Tribolium castaneum: one gene and its partner. The protein of the gene in region 2 interacts with the protein of the main gene of each other region in a pairwise test. Links are inferred from orthologs where the notes say so. Each region holds a gene or a part of one and is shown on either strand. Other genes may lie near its edges.

The links.
Region 1: the proteins of epidermal growth factor receptor kinase substrate 8-like protein 2 (region 2) and Su(dx) interact in a two-hybrid assay, tested with the Caenorhabditis elegans proteins (2 studies listed by BioGRID). The link is inferred for Tribolium castaneum from reciprocal best matches to the Caenorhabditis elegans genes eps-8 and wwp-1.

Annotation. Positions count from the first base shown.
Region 1 is NC_087398.1:5,360,978-5,364,901, forward strand, and holds the start of Su(dx) (E3 ubiquitin-protein ligase Su(dx)), read right to left. Parts: upstream 2,506-3,924; 5' UTR 2,199-2,505; intron 2,120-2,198; 5' UTR 2,092-2,119; coding exon 2,037-2,091; intron 1,026-2,036; coding exon 1-1,025. Other genes in the region: RNA-binding protein NOB1, read left to right, coding at 2,743-2,817, 2,866-3,924. UniProt on the Caenorhabditis elegans protein: E3 ubiquitin-protein ligase which accepts ubiquitin from an E2 ubiquitin-conjugating enzyme in the form of a thioester and then directly transfers the ubiquitin to targeted substrates. Ubiquitinates klf-1.
Region 2 is NC_087403.1:4,530,385-4,534,308, forward strand, and holds the start of epidermal growth factor receptor kinase substrate 8-like protein 2, read left to right. Parts: upstream 1-969; 5' UTR 970-1,132; intron 1,133-1,163; exon of another isoform or gene 1,164-1,653; intron 1,654-1,706; 5' UTR 1,707-1,733; coding exon 1,734-1,982; intron 1,983-2,030; coding exon 2,031-2,177; intron 2,178-2,470; exon of another isoform or gene 2,471-2,712; coding exon 2,713-3,401; intron 3,402-3,890; coding exon 3,891-3,924.

The DNA of each region.
Region 1 (3,924 bases), on a different chromosome or scaffold from region 2:
CTCCCATCCGGGCGGCAAGGCCCCCAAACCATCGTCCTCATCATCCACAACTGAAGTGCCAGGCATGGGTCCAGGCTGAAACTGCGGGTAGAGAAACCTTTGGTTGCCTTGTTGGACAATGTGCTGTCTCTGGCCTTGCCACTGCTGGAAGTGCTCCAACCGCTCCGAATTCGGCCTCTGCCAGGTGGTGGTGCGCGAATTGTGGTCGACGTAGTAGACCCTCCCGCGGGGGTCGCGCCGCATCTCCCAGCCGGGGGGCAACGGTTGGGGGCGCTCCCACGACGTCGAGCGCGTGTTGTGGTCCACGTAGTAGCGGCGGCCGTAGGTGTCATACCGCATCTCCCAGCCGGGGGGCAGCGGCTCCTCGGCCCTCCCGTCCTCGCCGTCGCTGTTGTGCACGGCGTTGCCGTTGGGCACCGTGGCCGGGGGGCCGATGGTGCCGTTGGGCATGGGCGTGGTGGGCGACAGCGCCGTGCGCGAGGTGCGCCTCTCGGCCGTGGAGGCTCGCGACGCCGTCGGAACGACGTTCTCCGTTCCGACATTGCGCACTTTCGCCCGAATTCCGTTGAAGACGCTGCGATTGGAGACGCTCTGCGCTTCGCAGTTGTTTTGCATGAGGGGGGTCGCACTCGGCCCCGGCTTGTGAAACTTGGACATGTCGACGGTCAAGCCTTGAAATACGCAAATTAATTCGCCGACTTTGGCCGGCGATTCGGTCTTGTTTTCGTTCATGAGATCCAGTGTGAGTTCAAGGTTTTCGCAGCGGCCGCTGAAATGCTGCAACATTTGGAAAAGTTCGACTTTTTTCTCGCCCACGAGGGTGTCTTTGCGGAAATTGTTCTTGTCGTAGACGACGAAGTTTATTTTTGAGTGGGGGGTGACGAGGAGGGTGAAGGTTTCGTTCCATTTCGGTTGAGCGGTGTTTTTCACGCATTCGGTCTTCCGGGGGGAGCCACCGTCCACGCTGATTTCCACGTACGTGGAGGGCTTGATGAAGGAACTGTTACGGAGGTGGGCGCACTCGACTGAAAAATAAAATAGCATTTTTGTAGCGATTTAATAACAAAAAGCTTATCGGTTGTTTGTAAACTTCGACCTTGCCAATAAAAATGCAACATGGATTGCATTTTTCACGGAATGTTTCAAGCAACATAAAAATCTCAAAAATGTTGGAGACAATAGTTCAAAGTTTTGTTTTATTTTTATCCAAAGCTCGATGAAAAATAATCAAACATTTAAAGATAATGGTGTTAAAGATAATGAAGCACGTTATTCGGGAAAACCTACAATAAAATAAAGCAAACAAAACAACTCGCGATAAAAGATAAAAAAATACCAATGAGTACGATTATTAAATTTGCTCATATTTCCCCCGAGTTTTTGTCGCAAAATGATGTCACGACTGGTAATCACGCGATAAAAACCAAAATATTATGCTTAGTAGGTCACATAATAATAACAACAACAGGAAACGGTGCCTTAAAAATGCGAGACAAGTCTCAAATGTGGTGATTTGGTTACTTGGCCACTCTGTGTGTCCTTGAAGCAAATAGGTGATATTATCACGTGAAATTGCACCTGAAAAATGTGTCGACACTTTTGTCCTGTCATCGAAAGGATTAGTCACAACTGTCGCCGGATCGATAAAATTGATCCTAAATGTTGGAAATTACACTTTTTATGACGCGTGTTTCTGGGACGTGCCATCCCAAGTTCCATAATTTATGAAGACTGTAATTAATGCGACTTTCTCGTAATAGCCGACTTGTTCCCCTGCAATTCTTAATTCTAATTAGAATAATCGAGGCGTAGCGGACTATCGCAACATTTTTCACTTTCTAAACATAAACAAATACAAATCGGTCCAGTAAATTAATTAGGAGCTACCTATTGTGCAATTAGCAATACCGCCGAACGCTATTAGAAACAAATAACAACAAAACCTTGCCACACACGTTGTGTAATCAGGTGAAACTGTTGTCTCTAAGACTTTGCCCAAATATTTGCGCTCCTTATCGGAGATTTCGGGGACATACCTGTGATGCCGAGCTGATGGAAGCCGGACCCCTGATCGGCTGAAGGGTCCATCATTTAGAACTGCTCATCGAGACGGTGATAACTAAAACCAAGCATCAGCTGAGACCGCATTTCGGCCAAAAACATCAACTTGACACATTACAACCGAAACGAAAACTTACTTGTGGTGGCCTCACTCCGTTATGATAATGGTGATAATCTTAACAATAGAACGCTTGAATTTTGATAAAAACATGAAATTTCACCGACAGAGTAGCCAAGTAATGACGTAAAAGTGATAACAGTGTGATCACCGACACGTCAGAGAAAACAGCCAAATTATTTCACACACGATTGACGGACACTTTACACCTCAAATCGAGAGTCACGGGGGCCCCACACCGTTTTTTCACACACAAACACTCGTTATTTACGAACTGACCGAAAATTGGCCTCCATGTAAAGCACACACTCCATTCTCCAATACGCACAATGTCGCCAACCGGAGCAAAGTAAAATAACTCATTGATCACGATTTTGGGCGAGATTACGCAAATTGTTTGTGTTATTATGACCCGGTAAACTAATTTGAGGCTTGCTCAAACCTACCACGGCATTATTTACACAAATAAGCCCGTTTTGGCAATAAACTGGGGTCTTTGGTCGTATTGTTGGCAACAAGTGTCATCCTCATCCAAGTGTCATTTTTCCACGTGTGTCAACAAAATGGGGGCCGGAGACAAGAAAATTGAGTGTTTGGTTGTCGATACGACTGCTTTTATCCAAAACGCCCCATTACAAGTACGTGATCTCGTCTGTAATTACCACTTTATAACCTTACGCTTGTAGGACGTTGCGGAGAAAATGGTCACATGTCAAAGTGTCGTTGACGAAATTTTGAACAAAAGACAGCTCAAACGTTTGGTGGTTTTGCCTTATGACCTTCAGGTCAAGGAGGTTTTTCCGGAAAATATCAAAATTGTGACAGAATTTGCAAAGAAAACCGGGGATTACCCAAGTCTGTCTGCCACCGATATCCAAGTTATGGCTCTTACGTATCAGTTGGAGAAGGAAGCGGTTGGGGTGGAGCACCTGCGTACTGAACCCGTCTTCCAGAGGACTGTGACCACCACAGGGCCAACTGTCGATTTACATCCTGACGTAACAGGGTTTTTCCTGCCAGGACACACAAAAATAAAAGATAGACCAGGAGAAACAAATGAAGAAACAGATGAAATTGAGAAATTGCAACAAAAATTCGAAACAATTGAATGCGCTGACGAGGAAACAAGCGAGGATCATGACGTTCTGGTGCCAGTTGACGACGCTAGCGACATCTCTGGATCAAATTCCGACGAAGATGACGATGACGACAGTGGCTGGATCACCCCTTCCAACGTCTCCCAGGCCAAAAAACAAGTCAACTCCCAGCTCATTGAGGAAAAACACGTGAAGATCGCCTGCATGACCACCGACTTCGCGATGCAAAACGTCCTCAAACAGATGAACCTCAATGTGGCCGCCCTTGACGGCCGCATGATCAAACAACTCCGGACCTACATCCTGCGTTGTTACGCCTGCTTCAAGACTACGAGCATCATGACGAAGAAATTTTGCCCCAAATGTGGCCTCAACACGCTCAAAAAAGTGGCGGTCTCACTTAACGAAGACGGCAAACTCCAAATACACATCAACGCAAAGCGCCCTCTAACGGCGCGCGGCAAGAAGTTCAGTTTGCCGCGAATGAAAGGGGGGAAGCACCCGAATAACCCGATCCTGGCCGAGGACCACCCCATGCCCCAAAACAGGGCGAGCAAATTGGCCAGAACCAAGATAAACCCTTTGGACGATGACTACATCGCGGGCTTCTCGCCTTTTGCGGTCAGGGACGTGACCTCAAGGTCGGCC
Region 2 (3,924 bases):
TGAAACACGAGCGTTGAGATTTTCCGGTATTTAAAACCGAGAAAACCTGTTTTTCGCGAAGTGAAACGTAGATGGAATGCGATTTTCCACAACCGTCTAAAATGTATTGGGACCAGTATAATTAAGCCAAAGAATGCGGTTTTATGCTCTCTTTATTCGTCACCTATGTGTGTTACAGCCATCACGTAAGTATACATTTTACTGACAACAAAACAGAAAAATTCTAATCAGAATGATTAAAAAAAATTTGCCGCTTCAGTTAAACAAACATAACATTGAAATATCAAAACAACACACTGAAAAAACTATTAAATAAGCATCCAATCAATGGCTGATATGATTTTCATAAAAAATGAGGTAACATCGTTTGTATTTTTTTTTTCAATATATTATTATTACATAGGTACCTCCTACCTGTTTCTTTTCAAATCACAGAGAAAATAACAATATTTGATCATGAATTTAAAAAATTGTAACAAAGATTTACAGAGCAATTTTACTGAACTTGGGATTCTATTGTGTGGGGTGGTTTTTAAGGCAATAATACAACCGAAAGGTGTAAAAAAATTAATTTTATTGTGACTAAATTAGTTGCAAAACACTTGTTAAAGTCAAACTCACAAAAAATTAATCATTTAATTATTACATCACAGGTCGCTGTTATCTTATATTTTTAAGCTTATTCAAAAACAATCAGCAATTAATATTTAACAAATTTTGTAATTGCATTAATTGTAGGGTAGGTAACTAGTAATACTTCGGTTTCTTCTGCTTCTTCCCCTTTCTTCAATTTCCTCTGATGTTTGAATTTTCCAAATGATAGCTCTTAAGAGAGCCCAAAGGTATTTCGAAAAAAGGTTGGGGCTAGTTTTTGGTCAGAAAAAAATATGCAAAATTTTTTTTTCTGTGTTATGTTAGGTTAGTTTTGTGACAGTTTCCAGCGCTTCTCCAATCTACAGGTAGGTTCTTGTACGCATGTGCAAAGTCATTTAGCTTACCTGACAGGTAAGATACGAGTAGCCCACCTGTAAATATAAAACATTTTAATTTCGTTGTGATTAGTGTGAAATGTGCTAATCAATTATTTTTAGTAATGAGTGATAGTGTTGCGACTTGTTGATTCGTATTTACGGTGAGTATGTGGCGGGTAAAGGGCTGATTTAAAAGTCCGTGAGGTAAAAATTTAATAATACTGTTATTGTTACTGTATTCATGCTATTGTGATATGGTCGCCACGATGGCTTTTGCGCCAAACTATTCACACACATATGTGTATTTCACAAGCTTCGTTAATAAATCGAATTTGCCTCATTTAACCCATTATTACTCTCTGCGTCATCACAAGTTGATGAAATCAAGTTTCGGGTTATTACAACTGTTGCGAATTAAAATATTCCCGCGCACTCCACGCCCTTCGTGTCCAAATTTAGTTCGCAACAGCTAGCCCATTAATATTCACAATAAATACATGCAGTTTTGTCCGTAAAAGTACGTCCTGAGGAATTGTTGACATTCCTTGCATTCCAGTATGGCTGAAGGTGTGGCATAAGAGAGGAAATTAATCTCAGTCGAGAATTATTATTAGGGCCCGAATTCCTTCAAAATGACAAATATTTATAAAAACCGCACGATACAATGAGATTAAATCCCGCAGTAGATAAATGTTATCATCAATCAAGCCGTGACAATAATCTCCGCGTTTCCAGATATTGAGTGGCTTAAGTTAAGTTAATATGGCGTACCGCTCGAACGGGTATTCGGGGGATGAAATGGACAGGTACCGGGATGAAGGGGGCGACAAGCCCACCTATCTCATGGAGCACCTGGCCACCTTCACAGTCACCAAAGAAACGGGGATCATGTACCCCGCCGACGGCATGCGGAGGCTGCTCCAGTTGGAAAAAACCAACGGCATTTGGTCGCAAAAAATGCAACTGTGCCTCGACCGCTCCTGGGTCTTAATCATGGATTACGAAACTGGGGTAAATAATCATCTCACGTAAACTCCAACTCTACACAAAAACGTTTAGAGTGTCATGGAGCGCTTCCCGGCCAACTCCATCCAAGAACCGACTGCTTTCACCAGCCATGATCCCATGGAAATGTACAACAATATTCTAGTTTTTAACGTTGCCAATTCTAACCCGGCTCATCCACCAGAAATGCACATTTTTCAGGTGAGCATATCTATCTGGCTCATCTTATCGGGCCCCCCGGCCAACACACTCATTTATTTTCGTCATTTATCTTATCAATCTATGGATTTTTAACAATTATTACTGTTTCCAAAAAACACAAGATAATCAATCAGATGTTACGGCAGCGAAATTAATTTGCGTGGTCGCGATAATCTCTAAATCAGATGAGATTATGGGGCGAATAAAATGAACGAACAAGGAGCATTTGATCGGACATACGGGATAATTGTAATGATTGTAAATACATAACGAGTTTTTTGTATAAGACTTACTTGCGAAATTATTAAATATAGAAAATTCAGTCAGTCAGCAGTACCAATAAAACGCTGGTAGTACAAAACTCTCTACTTTTTTTTAAATTAATGTTTTTTATGAAGGAAATGAAGGCAAGTTTATTGTCTTCGTGTCCCAAACTCGCATAATAATACACAATTTTGATAAGGTATTTCGTCGCACTCCAGCTCGTGGTGCTCTAAAAAATGATGTATTTATTTGTTTTTACGTGGATGTCTAGTGCCAGAGCATATCCGCGCTCGACCTGGTGGAAGACTTGAAGCAGTTGCGAATGGGCAAAACCCTGACTCGAAGCCGCAAAAGCAGCATCCCGCCGCCGTCCCACAAGCCGCCCCCGCACAACGTTATCAACCCGAGCCGCGACCCGCGAGGCGATTACCACGGTTCCGATTCGGAACTGACCGCAAATAACGACGACTCGAGTTCGACAACTAGCGAAAAATACGAACGAGACGTGACCATTTTGAACCATTGCTTCGACGATATCGAAAAGTTTATCGCCCGCTTGCAGCATGCCGCCGCCGCCGCCCGGGAGTTGGAGCGTCGGCGGAGGAGCCGCAAAAGCAAGAAACGCGACATGGGGGACGGCATGTTGACCATGCGGACGAAACCGCCCCCGGAGAAGGAGTTCATCGACATTTTCCAAAAGTTCAAGTTGTCGTTCAATCTCTTGGCCAAGCTCAAGGCGCACATTCACGATCCCAATGCTCCAGAGCTGGTGCATTTCTTGTTCACGCCTTTGGCGTTGATTGTCGAAGCCTCGCATGATACCTATCCCGATTCACAACTTCCCAGAAAAGTTGTCTCCCCGCTGCTGACCAGGGAGGCGGTCAATTTATTGATGAACTGTGTCACCAGCAAGGAGACCGAGCTGTGGCACTCGCTAGGAAACGCCTGGCTTATACCCAGGTAAGGCTATTTTTGACGAAATTGACAAACAATTGGTCAAAATTTCGCGATAAAAATAACTCGCCTATCTATTGTTGAAAGAAGCCGAAATTATTTACAAAGATATTGCCAGAATATCTATTTGAAAAAAAATTTGGACGAAAACTTATTTTAGATATGAATATTTCAATTTTTCAGTAAGAAAGAAACTAGAATGTTTAGCCGAAACCGGCAGAGAATCTTTGGTTGAGATGTCAATTCTTTTGGAACCAACATTTTTCAAGTTATCTTGTTGAAACCTAGCAAAATAACTTATTCTATTCAGCCAGTTACGGCCTAATTTGTACGTTAAAAACAGTTTAAAAAACCGTAAAATTCAAGGCTGGCAACAAGATTTGAATTTCCCGAGCTGCTGTTGCCAGTCAGCTAAATTCGCTAAGAAAATCTCACGCCCCTGAGTAAATTGGGAAAGAGAATCCGTCCGGTGTTAGATTTCCCTTTGTCTTGCAGAGATCAATGGAAGGGTCACGTGGCGCCTTACCAC